2 linked regions of the Rhinolophus ferrumequinum genome follow. The protein of the gene in region 1 interacts with the protein of each later gene in a pairwise test. Links are inferred from orthologs where the notes say so. Each region holds a gene or a part of one and is shown on either strand. Other genes may lie near its edges.

The links. The genes of interacting proteins can lie anywhere in the genome.
Region 2: the proteins of XRN1 (region 1) and ZFP36 interact in a two-hybrid assay, tested with the Homo sapiens proteins (2 studies listed by BioGRID). The link is inferred for Rhinolophus ferrumequinum from reciprocal best matches to the Homo sapiens genes XRN1 and ZFP36.

The regions. Positions count from the first base shown.
Region 1 is NC_046285.1:1,789,821-1,797,983, reverse strand, and holds the start of XRN1 (5'-3' exoribonuclease 1), read left to right. Parts: upstream 1-5,125; 5' UTR 5,126-5,266; coding exon 5,267-5,341; intron 5,342-8,163. Other genes in the region: serine/threonine-protein kinase ATR, read left to right, coding at 2,624-2,729, 3,601-3,774. UniProt on the Homo sapiens protein: Major 5'-3' exoribonuclease involved in mRNA decay. Required for the 5'-3'-processing of the G4 tetraplex-containing DNA and RNA substrates. The kinetic of hydrolysis is faster for G4 RNA tetraplex than for G4 DNA tetraplex and monomeric RNA tetraplex.
Region 2 is NC_046298.1:38,568,310-38,575,680, forward strand, and holds ZFP36 (mRNA decay activator protein ZFP36), read left to right. Parts: upstream 1-4,340; 5' UTR 4,341-4,440; coding exon 4,441-4,464; intron 4,465-5,281; coding exon 5,282-6,235; 3' UTR 6,236-6,871; downstream 6,872-7,371. UniProt on the Homo sapiens protein: Zinc-finger RNA-binding protein that destabilizes several cytoplasmic AU-rich element (ARE)-containing mRNA transcripts by promoting their poly(A) tail removal or deadenylation, and hence provide a mechanism for attenuating protein synthesis.

The DNA of each region.
Region 1 (8,163 bases):
CTTCTCACATCGCACACAGCCATTACATTTCCACTGTCACTATTCCTAATTCTGTACTCCACTTCTTGTAACTATGTATATATATATAAACTTGTAGTTGACATTCATTATTGTTTAGCTTCAGCTTCAGGTGTACAGTGCAGTGATCAGGCATCTACATCATCCCTGAGGTGGTCTCCCTAATGAGACAAGTGTCCATCGAATACCCTACAAAATCTTTACAACAGTATTGATTAGATTCCCCAAATTGACTTTCGTATCCCCATGGCAATCTTATGGTTACTGACTGCTTTCTAATCCCCTCATCTACCCCCTTATTCCCCCCCCCCCTCCCATCTAGCAACCCTCAGTTTTTCCTCTATGTCTCCGAGACTGTTTCTGATTAGTTTATTTGTCTTGGCACTTTTGTTGAAATCAATTTACCATATACATAAGGGTTTATTTCTGTGCTCTCAGTTTTATTCCATTGATCTTTATTTCTAACGAATGCCAAGAACACACACTGGATCACTGTAGCTTTGTAGTCAGTTTTTAAATCAGGAAGTGTGAGTGCTCAACATTTTCATCTTTTGCAAGATTGTTTGGCTGTTACGGGTCCCTTGCATTTCCATCTGAATTTTAAGATCAACTTGTCAATCTCTGCAAAAAGACAGCCTGGATTTGATAGGAATGACATTGAATCTAAATCAATTTGAGAAGTATTGCAGTCTTACCAGTATTAAGTCTTGTGATCTGTGCATGTGAGATTGCTTTCTATTTAAGTCTTCTTTAATTTCTTTCAACATTTTGTAGTTTTTGGTTTGCAAGTTTTTAAGTATTTTATTCCTTTTAATGCTATTCTAGTGGGATATTCTTAGTTTCATTTTTGAATTGTTGATTGCTAGTATATAGAAATATAACTGATATTTGTAGATTGATCTTGTATCCTGCAACCTCACTGAACTTGTTTATTACTTCTTATAGTTATTTTTGTAGACACGTTAAATTTTTCTCTCTACAACAGCACATCATCTGCAGATACAGTTTTACTCCTTCCTTTCTAATCTCAATGCCTTTTCTTTTTCTTGCCCAATTGCCCTAGCTAGATCAATGTTAAGTAGACATGGAGAGAATCTACATTCTTGTCTTGTCCTGATTTCAGTGGTAAAGAAGTCCATCTTTCACTATTAAATATTATGTTAGCTGTTGGAGGTACAGTTGACCCTTGAACATTATGGGGATTAGGGGCACTGACCCCCTGCACAGTTGAAAATCTGCATGTAACTCCCCAAAAACATAACTACTAATAGCCTACAGTTGTCTGGAAGTCTTACTCGTAAACAGTTGATTAACACATAATTTGTATGTTTCGTGTTTTTTATGTACTGTATTCTTACAATAAAAAGTAAACCAGAAAAAAGCTAATGTTATTAAGAAAATTGTAATTATAGTACGGTACATATTTATTGAAAAAATCTACATATAAGTGGACCTGCACAGTTCAAACCTGTATCGTTCAAAGCTCAACAGTAGTTTTTTTTAAGGACAGATGAGCAGAGCTAGATTCTGAAAAGTCCACATGAGGCCAGTTTACACATTCAAACTTTGCCCTGAGAACAACCAGAAATCATTGGAGGATACTAAGAAGAAAATAAAAAAAGAAGAGAAAATGAGATCATCAGATTTGTACTGTAGAAAAATTATAGTTCCAGTTTGCACTAGAGTCCAGAAAGCTAGTTAAAGGACTGTTGCATTAACCCAAGAAAAAAATGATGGTGCACTGAATGAGGTAGTGACAGTAAAGATGGAGATAAGTAGAGAGACTCTAAAGAGATTTAGGAGGTAGAATTGAGGAAGCCAGGATGATTCCTAGATTTTTGTTTAGGGCCAATGGGTGAATAATGTCGTTCTTTACTGATTTGAGGAATACAGGAGATATAGTTTGGGAAAGAGTCATGAGTTTTGTTTTGAAAACATTGAATTTGATGTGCCTACAAGATACCCATTTGGTTTTCCCACAGGGAATTGGATTTGACTTTTAGAGCATAGTAGAAGAATCTGGGTAGGTCTGTATCACGGGTGTCCAAACTGCGGCCCGCGGGCCAACTGTGGTCCGCAATCCATTTTTAATTGGCCCGCAGCAAATTCCAAAAATATATTTAGTTTACTTAAATAAACCCGGTGAGGCAGTATGTACTTCACCTCGAGTGAGTGGCCCGGCTGTTTGTGTATTTTACTGCATATGGCCCTTGGTGAAAACCGTTGAAAAAAGTTTGGACACCCCTGGTCTACATGGAAAGCTATAGATGTTTTATGGTCATTGTGGAGACATGGCAGGGGATGAAATTCACTCATTTAATAAATATTCGTTAACCAGTTTACATGATGCATTTAGAGACAGCACACAGAACTCATCTTTCTTTACTCTCTAAGAATACCTCTGACCCTGTCTTTTGTCTTCCCCTTCCCTCCATACCCCAAAAGAATAATTTCATATATTTTACTGAAACAGTAATTGTGTAAGAGCATTACCATTAGCTTTTCATCCTTCACTTATTTTTCACCTAAGTATTGACTTTATCAAGATTTCTTTTTGCAAAGATAACACTGTATTATTACCATAATATTTTTGTTTCCATTTCAGTGTCTTAAAGACTTTTCTACATGATCCTCTTGTGGAATGGAGTAAACCGGTGAAAGGCCATTCCAAAGCGCCACCAAATGAAACTGGGGAAGTCGTCAATGAAAAGGTTTGTAGAAGGTGTAGCTTGATTTGATATTGTGTATCTCTACAAACGCAAGCTGATTCTAAATACTGTCAGTGACTGACCATGGAGTACTCTGAAATCCAGTTCTGTAGTATGTCAATACCCTAAGTTTTCTTTATTGTCATTACTAATGTTAACATTATCTTTGTATAATAAAAGCAGAGTTCAGGTCACACTTGTTTAGCCATAGACAATTCACAATTATGAGATAGAGTGGGAAAAACTTGAAGACAAATTGCGTGGACTTACACAGTAACAGGTCTCAGCTTTAATATGTAGAATTCACTCCTTACTAATATTAGTTGAAGCATCCAAGTTTGCAGATAGTTATTTTTATAAGTTAGAATAGATGGAAGATTGTTTTTCTAACATCATTCTCACTTTTGCATTCTGATATGCTTTTTCGATTGAGAGAAATGTGTAAATTCTAACTAGCTCACTTAGCACTTCTATTTGCATATACTAACATAATCTAAATATTAGGCATTAAAGTATTGTTGTTATTATTAGAATATTCATCCAAATATTTAAGTCCTAAACAGATTCAGGATAGATTTTTTAAAGTTACTATTTTTCTAGAATTATAATGTGGAAGAGATATCCCTGGTTTTCACATACTACAGAAAAATGTCTAAGCAGTTGATGTTGGATCAACATTGCAAGCCTTAAAGTCAGTTATTGTAGGTTGTCGTTCTTGTTTCATTTCTTCTCTCTTTTGTATTTGCTCTTACATAAGGGGTAAAATGGCATTAACATTTGTTAAATAACAGAAAGGTAGTAATTCCAAAATCAACATGCACATGTCATTGAGTTTTTATTTTAGCCTTTATGATTTTCAATTTCTTCCTTTTAGGCCAAGACTCATGTTCTTGACATTGAGCAGAGACTGCAAGGTGTAATCAAGACCCGAAATAGAGTGACTGGGCTGCCATTATCTATTGAAGGACATGTGCATTACCTTATACAAGAAGCTACTGATGAAAATTTACTATGCCAAATGTACCTTGGTTGGACCCCATATATGTGAAATGAAATTACTTCAAAGAATATGTTAATAACCTAAAATTAATGCACTTGGTATTAATTTGTGGTTGTATTTGTTCAATTCCAAAGTTCAACATAAGCTGCTTTATGTTCTCAGAGCAACTGGTATTATTTCTCCTTGATTGTTAATAATATTTAAAATAATATATGTTATTAAGAAATAAATTGCTTTCTTAATATATAGTGTGTATTATAACCAGAGAAATGGAACATCCTATGTTTTGATGCTCTAAAAATATGTATTTGCAAGAAAAAATCTAGCCTAATTTCATTTTACAACTTTTATTTTTAAGTACTCAATAGCATAAGGATTCATTTGAACACAAAAATATGTTAATAAATTCTGTGCACCAAGCACGGTGCTAGATTTGTGCTCAGAGCTTATGTATTCTGCCCTCTAGAAACTGACAGTCTAGTAAATCAGAGATACAAACATAAATAGCACATCACATAAGTTCACTTAATAAACTCTTTTTTGTGTATGGCTGAAAATGTGATAGAGAAAAAAAACAAGCCACGAAGCACGAATATGAAAACTATAGAAACATTCTGTAATTTTGAAGATGCTGCCATACTGAAACACCCAAATACAGAATCCAGTGGTCTTGGAAGGCAGCAACACTTGAAATTTCATGAGATTTTAAAACTACAAAAAAAATTTTTTAATTTTTTCAGGTTTTCCTGCAGAAGACCTAACATAATTCATAATAATTACAAAGCAGTGAGGTTATTACATTAAAATAAATGGAAAACTTTGTAACATGATTTCACGTAAGTTCACTTGAGAGAATTCTGCATTTTTTTGCATGGTTGAAAGTGAGATGGGGAAAACACTATAAGCCAGGAGGTATGAATGTGAAAACTAAACACAGAATTTCGTATCTAAGGCCTAATATTAATAGTTGAGGAGGAAGCTGGGCGGGGATGGGAGGTGGAGGGAGTTAGGACATTTTTTTCCAACAAATAACTTGTTAAAGAATGTTTTTAAAAGAAACTTTGCCGAAAAAAACTCCCCCTCACCAAACAAAACTAAACCAAATAAATCACCAGACCTTTCCAAATCTGTGTTGAAAATACCGAGATGAGCATCACGGGCGACTCAAGCAGCCAGGACAAAAATCAGTGTTCAGTATTCTCTCTCCAGCAATCAGGTGAGTGTTTCGCAGCACTTGCAAATCCCCTTATGGCCTGTAAACAGGCATTTTCAGAACTGAGTTGAACACTCACCTCGCAAACGCCTCGGGCTCTTAGACGTGCCCTGCAGCGAGCACACGCGGTGAGCTGGGGCCGGGATCGGAGCCCCGCCCCGGGGATGTGGCCTCGAAGCCGGCCGCTCTAGGCCCGGCGGCGCTCTCTATGATCCGGCGGGCGGTGTGTTGTCATCGGCGGAGCGACGGCCGGAGGCCCCGGAGTGTAGGCCCCGGCGGGGCGTTTGGTTTCGGTTTGTCCCTGGTGAGTTAGTGTTGACAGTCGAAATGGGAGTCCCCAAGTTCTACCGATGGATCTCGGAGCGGTATCCCTGCCTCAGCGAAGTGGTGAAAGAGCATCAGGTGGGTGAGCGAGGGGCAGCGGCTCCGCAGGCCGAGGACCCGGGGCCCCGCGGCCCGCTCCCCCCGGGGACGGGGGCTCTCCAGTCCCCCTTTCTGCTCGTCGTCTGCCGGCTGGGTGGCGAGGCGAGGGCAGCAGAAGGGCTGCGGACGCCCGGATGACCCGAATGGGGCGACGACAGGCTGCGTTTCTGTGCGCGCAGCCTCGGGGGCGCCGCAGTTCTGACAGCTCCCTGCCTGGCAGGCCCTTCCGCGATTCCGAAAGCGGGTGCTGGGCCAGTGCGCCGTACTGAGCGCCTCTTCCCTGTGCTCCCCGGAGCTGCAGGGTGCGTTTCCCAGCGCAGAGCCGAGGGCGTCCGCCCGGGACCTCCCGGCCCCGCCCAAGGCCACGGACCCACGGACCCACGGACGGGCGATTCCTGCCGCCTCCGCGACGCAATCCCCTTGTTTACTCTCCTCTAGAGGAGGCTGCGTCCCGCCCCACCCGGCGCCGAGGCTCCCCGCATGCCCATTCCCCCCCAAAACAAAACACACTTGGACGGGGAAGGGGCATCATGCGGAGGTGTGTGTGTCAGGGAGAGACACTACTTACAGCAATATTTGGTATATAACGAGCCCAGGGTGACGTTTATGTGTACATTCCAAAAATGAAGTGTATATATCGCAACTGTGAAGGAATAGAAAGCAGTCATTTAGACTGCTAGACTTTCGGTGATACGTGTTTGTCACATTTAATGATTTTAGTAGACCTCTTGTCTGCTTTACAGAAAAAAAATAGTTTTGAAATGTGTATAGGTAATTGAATTGATTGTGATAGGTAGCATTGTATTCGTAGTCGGGGGTGTTCATCCATCCAACACCAACCATCATGCTGTTAAATTATGGTTTAATCTTTTTTAAAAATACACCATAGCATGAAGGTAGGGCTAAATTTCCAGAAAGGATTCCTTGTTGTTGGATCACCATCAGATTTGGTAAATGAGGAAAAGCTTACAAAAAATTCCAAAATGGTAGTCTGCCTTTAATTTGTTTGAAACATGGGTTGAGTTAGATTTAGGCAGACATTTCTTTCCAGAGAAGAGGGTAAAAAAGGTTACCAGTATATTGCAGAAATAGAGACGACAAACTGACTTTTCCTGGTCCTTCATTCAAAAAAGGTTTGAGTATCTGTAATACATCATTCATTTTCTCTCTCTCAAGTGGAAAAAAATGTGATTGTTATTGAAGCTGACTTGATAATACATAGTTTGTTCAGTGATATTTTTGCTCTGTACTCTTTGGCACAGAATTTGGTTTGGAGAGAATAAGTATCCCTTATTCTCTCCATGCTGAGGAGTTTGTTACTGAAGAACAAAAACAGTCTCTTCAAGGCAGTTTTATGACGTGAACACTAAGGGTAGATTTAAACTGGGTTCATCAAAATGATGTGTTTCAAAAATTTTTGATTCTGGTTGTTAACAACAACCACAAAAGCAAATGTTAGAAAGGGTTACCATGCTACTCTCTCAAGCAGTACATAAAAGATGCGAATGCCTGAATCACAATGGTTCAAAAGCTAGTTCTGGGGGGAGGGGGTTGGAAAAAGGTTGGGAGGAGGGGTGGGTTCTGGAAAGAGGATGGGTGGTGGTGGTGATACTAGCATAGGTTTTGGTCTCTGAATCCTTACATAAAAACAGAAAGAGCAATTAGATAGCAAAACTTAAAATCCATAGAACAATTACAACAAAACCACATAACAGGGTATCCCCACGAATATAAGGAGTTGAGGACAAATTACCAATAGCTTCTAGACCCAATCAGTATTGGCATTTCTGCAAGAGAAAGGAAGAAGCAATGGGGAAATATCTGTGGACCTGAGAACAAGAGAACTCCAGAATATTCCCTAAAAGACTCTGAGGGCCAGTTAGATAACTAGCTGTAAATAAGGCGTTTTAAAGGGCAGGAGCAGTCTACCTCCTGTGGACTCTCCAAACTGACTTACCAAGGCCCCATTCTAAGGCAGAGCCCACACTAAGGAGAAACTGCTGGAAGTAAAATGAAATTTTATCAGAAAAGGGACAATAGAGAAAAGAGAAGAGGAAGGTCCAGATAAAAGTGGGGGGAGGTTACAAAGTCAAGAAATCTTAGAAAACAACCACCAACCAAACCACCCAATTTTTAACACTACCCCAAAACAGCAGAAGAGGGAGCTTGTGAAGTTATGGCTTTCCTGAACCCTTCCTCATTCTAAAAGTTCAGGAAAATTAAATTTACATAAAAATGAGCAACAGAAAAGTATCAAGGTGAAAATAACATGCAAAGTTATTACAGGGAAAAAAAGGAACAAAATAGTACACCCCCAGACAATAAAAGCTTGCGATAAAAATATGCACACAAAACAGACCACAACTATAACTTACTATTTCAGAATGAGCTAAAAGACACTAAGAAAATGATATAAGACGTGAAAGAACATTTATCAATTATGGAAATTCAGAAGTAAGGGACAGAACCTAGGGAAAATTAAACATACATGAAAAAATCATTTCAGAAATGGAACCTAAAGTAGTAGCAAGGCAAAAGCAAATGATGCCACGAGGTAAAAAAAAAGGTGAGGAAAAAAAGGTAGAAGAGGAAATTTTAAAAGATAAAGGTTTAAGAGAAAGTAACTAAAAAGATAGGCAAAGAAAACAAATAATGGGTTCCTGAAAAACGAAATCAAAGCAATTAAAACAAATACTAGAATTAAAGAAAATTTTCCTGAAATTAAAAAAATATATATTTGAAATTGCACGTTGAAAGAATATACCATGTACCTAAAAATATTGATTCAGGTGACCAACACC
Region 2 (7,371 bases), on another chromosome or scaffold:
GAAGTGGAGACTTTTAATAGAAAAAAATAACAAAGGTACTTAGGAATCTAACATGCAAGACTTGTGTGGAGAATTATGTTACTTTATTGAGAAAGTTAGAGCTTAGGTTGGGTAGTGGTTCATGGGTATTCATTATGGTCTGTAAATAGATGTTACATGTATTTGTTATTTGTTAAATATACCAAGATTTGTGGGTTTTTTTAACTTTTAAAATCCTTGACATGACATGAAGGCCTCGATGAGAAAGCAGACTTGGAGAGAGAATAATGTGGACATTGGGGAAAAGAGCGTTCCAGGACGGGAATGGCAAGTGCAAAGGCCCTGAGGCTGGAAAGTGACAGTGTGTTTATGGAATAACGTGGAGTCCTGGACCACAGTGAAGAGGCAGGGACAGATGTCCAGGCAGGTTATGGAGGCCCTTGGTTTAGATCTTCACTAGGTTATTTGACCCAGAGGGCAACGTACAGCCTGTTGCACGACCACACTCTCCAGGGAAGGGTGTACATGAGATGCACTGCCACACAGCAAACTGTTTTGGGGGACACAAGCACATACAAGACCCCACCCCAGCAGAGAATAGCATAACCCACCATCCTATTATCATGGTGTCCCCAGGCTCTCAGTCCCAGTGACAAACCCACATCAGACTAAAGGAACAATCCATGTGAATACACAAACAGCACTCTAACCACTACTTAACCTGCTATCTCTTACCCCATCGCAGACTTTGCCCATCACTGGCTGACTCAGCCATGCCCTCAGCTCAACATTATCAAAAGCAGCCTTGGCTGGGAGAGATAAGGTTTCCCAGGTGCCAGTATGTGCGCCTGTGTGTGTCTGCTCTGCCCATACAGGCTGGCAGAGACATGGAGTGGAGAGTGCGCCCACAACCTCCCCGTCATGCGCCAGCTGTAGACGTCAGGAACCAAAGTTCACCAGTTTCACTACCTTGTGACTGGGCCACAGAGGAACCACCAGATGCTGGCCTCGTATGTTCTCAGTGACACCCCCAAATAAGGACACAGACACATAAGAACACTATTCACTACACACATGAACTGCAGGGGCCTGTACACAGCCGCAACTGCCAATAGTCTCACAGATGCTTATACATACTCAACTTGGACGTGTGTATGCAGATCCTCATCGCAGCAGAGGGCAGTCAGTCATACCCTCACCAGGCTCTCACGGAGTTACACACACTTAGTCACTCCAGATCCCACAGTGGTTCAGAGGTACAAGAGACCTGCAGGTTGGGTTTGTAAGTCACACCAACACCACCTCAAAGACAAGGTTGAGTACACACTCCCACACCCAGAGATGGTTAAAGTAAAAACAGTATAAATCAGTCACAGGCCCAAGCGGTTTCACACAATTTATTCACAGCCATGTCAAGTGGGATTGAAAATACACAGCCCTCACACAGGGAAGTGGGCCCGCTCGTGTCCCACACCTATTGGTGCAATGGCATACCCAGGTACCCCAGGTCTTAACCCAGTCACGCCAGGGCACACACCTTCGCACCTGCAGCGCATACTTCACACAATATACGACACACATATACACACACAAACTCTCTCTCTCTCTCTCTCTCTCTCTCTCTCTCTCTCTCTCTCTCTCTCTCTCTCTCTCTCTCTCTCTCTCTCTCTCTCTCTCTCTCTCTCTCTCTCTCTCTCTTTCTCAGGCCCACGCAGTTGCACAAAGCCGGCCGCACCCGCTCACGCCCAATCACACCAGGCGCACACTCGGCCTGGGCACACGTGCCGCCGCGAGTACACGGCCCCCGCTCGCCCGCGCACTAGCCCCGGCTCTCACACCCCCGCATTTCCCGTCCCCGCTTGTTTTTCTGGAAACTGCGCTCCGTTCCCCTCCCCCTAGGCCGGAAGTGCTCGTTGTATTTTTAGCTTCTCTGGTTTCCGCCCCTTTCCCCCAGCTCCTGCCCGCCCAGGAGTTGCCCCCTGCACCCCGCCGGGGACCCCGGCCATCCCCTTCCCCACCGTCATTCCAGAGGGGATTCCCGGCCGCCGCTGGGGCCACGGATTTTCCCGCCGGCTACGTGGGGCGTGGGGAGGAGTCCTGCCCTGAATTTCCTCCTGGGCTGGGACGTCTGAGGCCAGGATAGGGTGGGAGGTGGGTGGAGAGCTGGCCTCCTAAATCGGAGGGAGGAGGGGCTGGGGGTTCGGACTTTAGGGTCTAACCTAGGAGGGACTGGAGGTCGGCTCTCCTGGGTCTAAGCCAGAGGTGGCTTGGAGACCTGGACCCCTAGATCTGAGCAAGGAGGGATCGAGGCCCGGTCTCCTGGGTCCCACCCGTCCGGGTTTCGGGGTCGGTCCTTTCCGGTGCAAAGCCCCCCCAACCCCCTTCCAGCCTCTTCAAGAGTCGCCCAATCCAAAGCGTCCAGGCTCTTGGGCCGATGACTCAGCAGATGGGAGAGGGGAGGGGGTCAGCCTGACTCAGGGATGGGAAATGTTCCCTGTCTCCAGGGAATCGAAACTGGAATCCCTCCTCCCAGATCGAGGCTGGCGCCAAGCCGGACTCCGGGGACCCCAGGTGCACCCCACCTCCCGTTTTCCTGCTGCCTTCGTCCTACTAGCGGCACAGGGATTTGGAGCCCAACCGGGAGACGGGTGCCAGGCACCCCGCCTTTCCCCCCTTTTCCCGTTGTCCTCGAGGCTCTGTTTACAGGCGACTGAAGCCCTGGTTACAGGAGAGGAACCCTGGCGTCCGGGCTGAGCCTCCTCGTCACGGCTTCCAGGAAGGCCCCCTCCCCCGCCCCTTGCGAGTGAGTCACGGGCGAGCGGGAGGCTGCAACCGTGCCAGAGCCGCCCGCAGCCACCCAGCTCACGGGACTGGTCGGGAAGGCCCCCTCAGCCCCAGAAGGCGCCGCACCAGGGATTTCCCCGAGCTCTGTCCGACAAGGCGGGTCGGTGTGCCTTGCCGAATCTCCCCACTTCAATCTGCAAGAATGAACTTGGCACTATTATAACAGCACTCCATGGCAATGGTTTCTGCTCCCATATTTTCACTCAGGGCAGCCAGCTCACCAAGACTCCCTTAAGAAACGAGTTTTCTTCCCAGATCTTGATGTTTTTACGAAGGGCAACCGCTTACCAATAAACGGCTTGCTTATGTGGGGAGTGATCCCCGTAAGTTTAGAATTCCCTCAAGGTACACCCCTTTATGATACCCATTGGGCTATCAATTGGGGATGACCCATTACTTCCATATCAAAACAGCTTTCCATCAAGGTAACCCGCCACCACAATGAAAGATCTTGCCCTTTCCGATCTTGAGTTCTCCGAGAAGGCAAATGCAACATAATTTAAAGCCCTGGTGTTGGGCTGCTGCCACTTATTGAATGAGAATAGGAGAGTAACTTGACCTCTATGCCTGGGTTTCCTCGTGTATAAAATGGTCACAGTAACCCCTCCTTGAGTTAATGTATGTATGTAAAACACTTTCATACAACAGTGCCTAGCCTAGAGGAAGCGATCAGAAGTGCCACTATCTGTGGGAGGGCGAGAGGCTACAGTGGCTCTGGAATTGGGAAAGGAGGCCCCTTTCCAGCCTCGCCAAATATCCAGGACCCCACCCCTGGAGAGTGGGGGCGGGGAGGGCGGTCAAGGTCTCCGGATCTGGGATGTTTGAGCGAGACGAAGCCAGGCCGGCAGGTCTCGGGAGAGAATTCCCTGCCAAGCCTGTTGGTTGCCTTTCTCTGTTTTGCTCCTGCGGATTTCTGTCTAAGGGTGTTTGTTTCTATTTTTTCAACCTCTTTTTCTGTTTCTTTATGTGACCCTCCCTCTCACTTCTCTGAATTTGTTTCTGGGACTGTCTCTGTCATGTCTTTTCTGTCTGTCTCCCCACCTCCTCTCCTCTCCTTACCCAGTCTCTCTTCTCTTCCCTCTCTCTCTCCTTCCCTGTGTATGTCTCTCCCTCACTCTGCTGTGTCTCTTGTGTTTTTCTGTTTGCCTCTCTCCATTTCTCCGTCTCTGGCTCTCCGCGCCTCTCCCCGCCCCCGTCCGTCTGTCTCTCACACGCACTCCCACTGCCTCGGCCTCTGCCCTTGTCAGTTCTCCTAGGAACCCTGCCCCCACCTCGGTCCCAGTTCCTATATCGCGCCTCAGTCTCCAGCCTTGAAAACTGGGTGGATACCCGCACCCCACAAACTCCCCACCGGGTCGCGGCCGCCTGCGGGCCCAGCTCGTGCGCATCCGGGCTGGGAGCCAGGCGGAACCGGGACCAGTCCCGGGTCGGCGGGCTGCGCTGGGGGCGCGCGTCCGGGAAGCGCCCCATCGTGACCCCGCCCACCAGGCCCGCCCCCTCATGGCCCCGCCTCCACTTATCTCATAAAAGCACCGGCTCCTACACCGGGCGGTAGTCTCACTCCAGCGCTCTCCTACTTTCGGCCGGGTTCACCGTTGATCGGCTCTCCGCGCCGCCATGGATCTCACCGCCATCTACGAGGTGAGTCTCCGCCGATCGGTACCCTGGGGTCCCAATGCCTGACTTCCTTCTCAAACTAGGGCTCTCTACCGCCGCAAACTCCAGCCCGGGATCCCTGGCTCTCTTCTCTAAGTGGAACTCCTTAGCGCCGTACTCTCCGGCCGGGCTCTTGCCTTCCTTCTCAGACTAATGTGATTCCTTGGAGGTGAAAAATGGAGCCCGCGACTTTAGGGTCTCTGCCCAAACATGGGTGGGGTGACCCTTGGAGATGGAAAGCGGGAGGAGTTTTCTCAGACTAGGGCTGTGTGGAGGCGGAAATGGCCCCACACCTGGCTTCCCCCCAGTAGTTGCTGAGGGCGCGGTTTTGCGCGGAGGCGTTTCTGGGGCTGGAGTCTCGGGGTGATGGGAAACCGACTTCTGTCTCCACTCCCTGACCCAGAGGAGTTCTCTGGGACTCAAAACCTAAAAGATCCAACTGCTAGGTTAACTTTGCCGGCTCCTCCAGTTGTGAAACCAGAGAACACAAGGAGTGGGGGTCAAATCCCAAGAGGCCCGAAGGCTCAAAATTGGAGGGCATTGGTGTGCCCCTGAGTTTGGGGGCCTCTCCATCCAGCCGGGGGACCCAGGATTCCTGGGTCCTTCGAGATAGGCTTCATTCGCTAATAAACTCAACCTCCAATTCGGGGTCCCTCCGATCCGGAACCTATGAGTTTCTGCGGGCGGGTGGGGCTAAGGCTAGGAGCCCACAAACCGGACTGGCAAGCTCCTAGGTGCCCTGAAGCTGAGGAGAGGCGTCACCCTGCATTTTCGGTGTCTTAACCGATCCCTGTTCCCACAGAGCCTCCTGTCGCTGAGCCCTGACCTGCCATCCGACCATGGAGACACTGAATCCAGCCCAGGCTGGGCCTCCTCAGGACTCTGGAGCTTCAGCTCATCTGATTCCAACCCATCTGGGGTTGTTGCCCGCCTGCCTGGCCGCTCCACCAGCCTGGTGGAGGGTCGGAGCTGTGGCTGGGTGCCCCCACCCCCAGGCTTCGCACCCCTGCCTCCCCGCCCAGGCCCTGAGCTGTCGCCCTCACCCACCTCACCTACTGCGACCCCCACCACCTCATCCCGATACAAGACTGAGCTTTGTCGGACCTTCTCAGAGAGTGGACGCTGCCGCTACGGGGCTAAGTGCCAGTTTGCCCATGGCCTGGGTGAGCTGCGCCAGGCCAGTCGCCACCCCAAGTACAAGACGGAACTCTGCCACAAGTTCTACCTCCAGGGCCGCTGCCCCTATGGCTCGCGTTGCCACTTCATTCACAACCCCAGCGAGGACCTGGCTGCCCCTGGCCACCCCCATGTCCTGCGCCAGAGCATCAGCTTCTCAGGCCTGCCCTCAGGCCGCCGAGCCTCGCCACCACCGGCAGGCCTAGCAGGCCCTTCCCTGTCCTCATGCTCCTTCTCGCCCTCCAGCTCCCCACCACCACCACCTGGGGATTTTCCACTTTCACCCTCTGCCTTCTCTGCTGCCCCTGGGACCCCTGTGGCCCGAAGGGACCCTACCCCAGCCTGTTGTCCCTCCTGCCGAAGGGCCACACCCAGCAGCGTCTGGGGACCCGTGGGTGGCCTGGCTCGGAGCCCCTCTGCACACTCCCTGGGATCTGACCCTGATGAATATGCCAGTAGCGGCAGCAGCCTGGGAGGGTCCGACTCACCAGTCTTTGAGGCTGGGGTTTTTGGGCCACCCCAGCCACCTGCAGCCTCTCGGCGACTCCCCATCTTCAATCGCATCTCCGTGTCTGAGTGACAAGTGCCTGCCCAGTACAGATCAGCTGGATCTTAAGGGGGGCCATTTCTCTTGTACTGTGGGGAACTCTTATAATCAAGTAGCCCCCGTCTTCCAAAATGCATTAACCCACTCCACTGACCCCATACTGGGGCAGGTCCCCAGTGTGCAAGTTCATGGTGTTGGGGGAAGGAGTGTATTCTGAAGTCTTTGTATTAAAAAAGATGTAGCAAATTTAAGGGAGGCAGTGAGGCCTCTTCCCCCCACCCTCTCCCCTGCCCAATGCTGTGAATAAATAGGCCCCCACTGCCCCCTCCCAGTTTTTCCTAGACCCTGAGGTTCTGGTGTGACTGGAGCCTCCCCATGAGGGGCAATCCTGGTGCTCAAGTTTCCCTCCAAAAGCAAGTAGCCAAAACGTTGCCAACCCCCCTCCCCCAATCATTGGGCCCTTTATTTATGACGACTTTATTTATTCTAATAGATTTTATAGTATTTATATATATTGGGTCGTCTGCTTCCCTTGTATTTTTCTTCCTCCTTTTTGTAATATTGGAAACGATGGATAATTATTGTTGTAAGTGTACTATAATAATATATTAAGTAATATATATTGTTAAAAGTTTATTTTTCTGTGTTTTTTTGAATTTTTGAATAAAAGGCATCTATGTGTAAACTGGAATCCTGGCTTTCCTGCGATCTAGAGGCAGTGAGAGTGGGGAGGATGGTGTGCCCCTTTTTAGAAGCGGGTTGAGTCGATTCACACAGTTCCTTCAAACCTTCCCGGAGCCACAGCCACCAGCCGCGCTTACCTGGCAGGAAGTGACGTCACCTGACCTGGCCATTCACCTGAGGGGGCGGGGCCAGGTGAGGTCACCCGGTAGGAACCAGGAGAGCCAGTTCCCGGGGCGTCGGGGGCTCAGGCGCTCCCCTCTTGTCGGGCTCCTTGACCCAGCTCTCAGCTGGGCGCGGATGGGATGTTTCCATCCCCGCGGGGCTGAGGGAGGAGGGCGGGGCGGTGCGGGGAGGACGGAATGTGCCGGGGCGCGAGCCCAGGGCGGGCGGGGGCGGGGGGAGGGTCAGCCCGGAAGCCGGGGTGGCCTGGGGCCCACCACCCGGCCTTCCAGGACCTGAGGGGCTGGGGGATTCACACTCTCGCA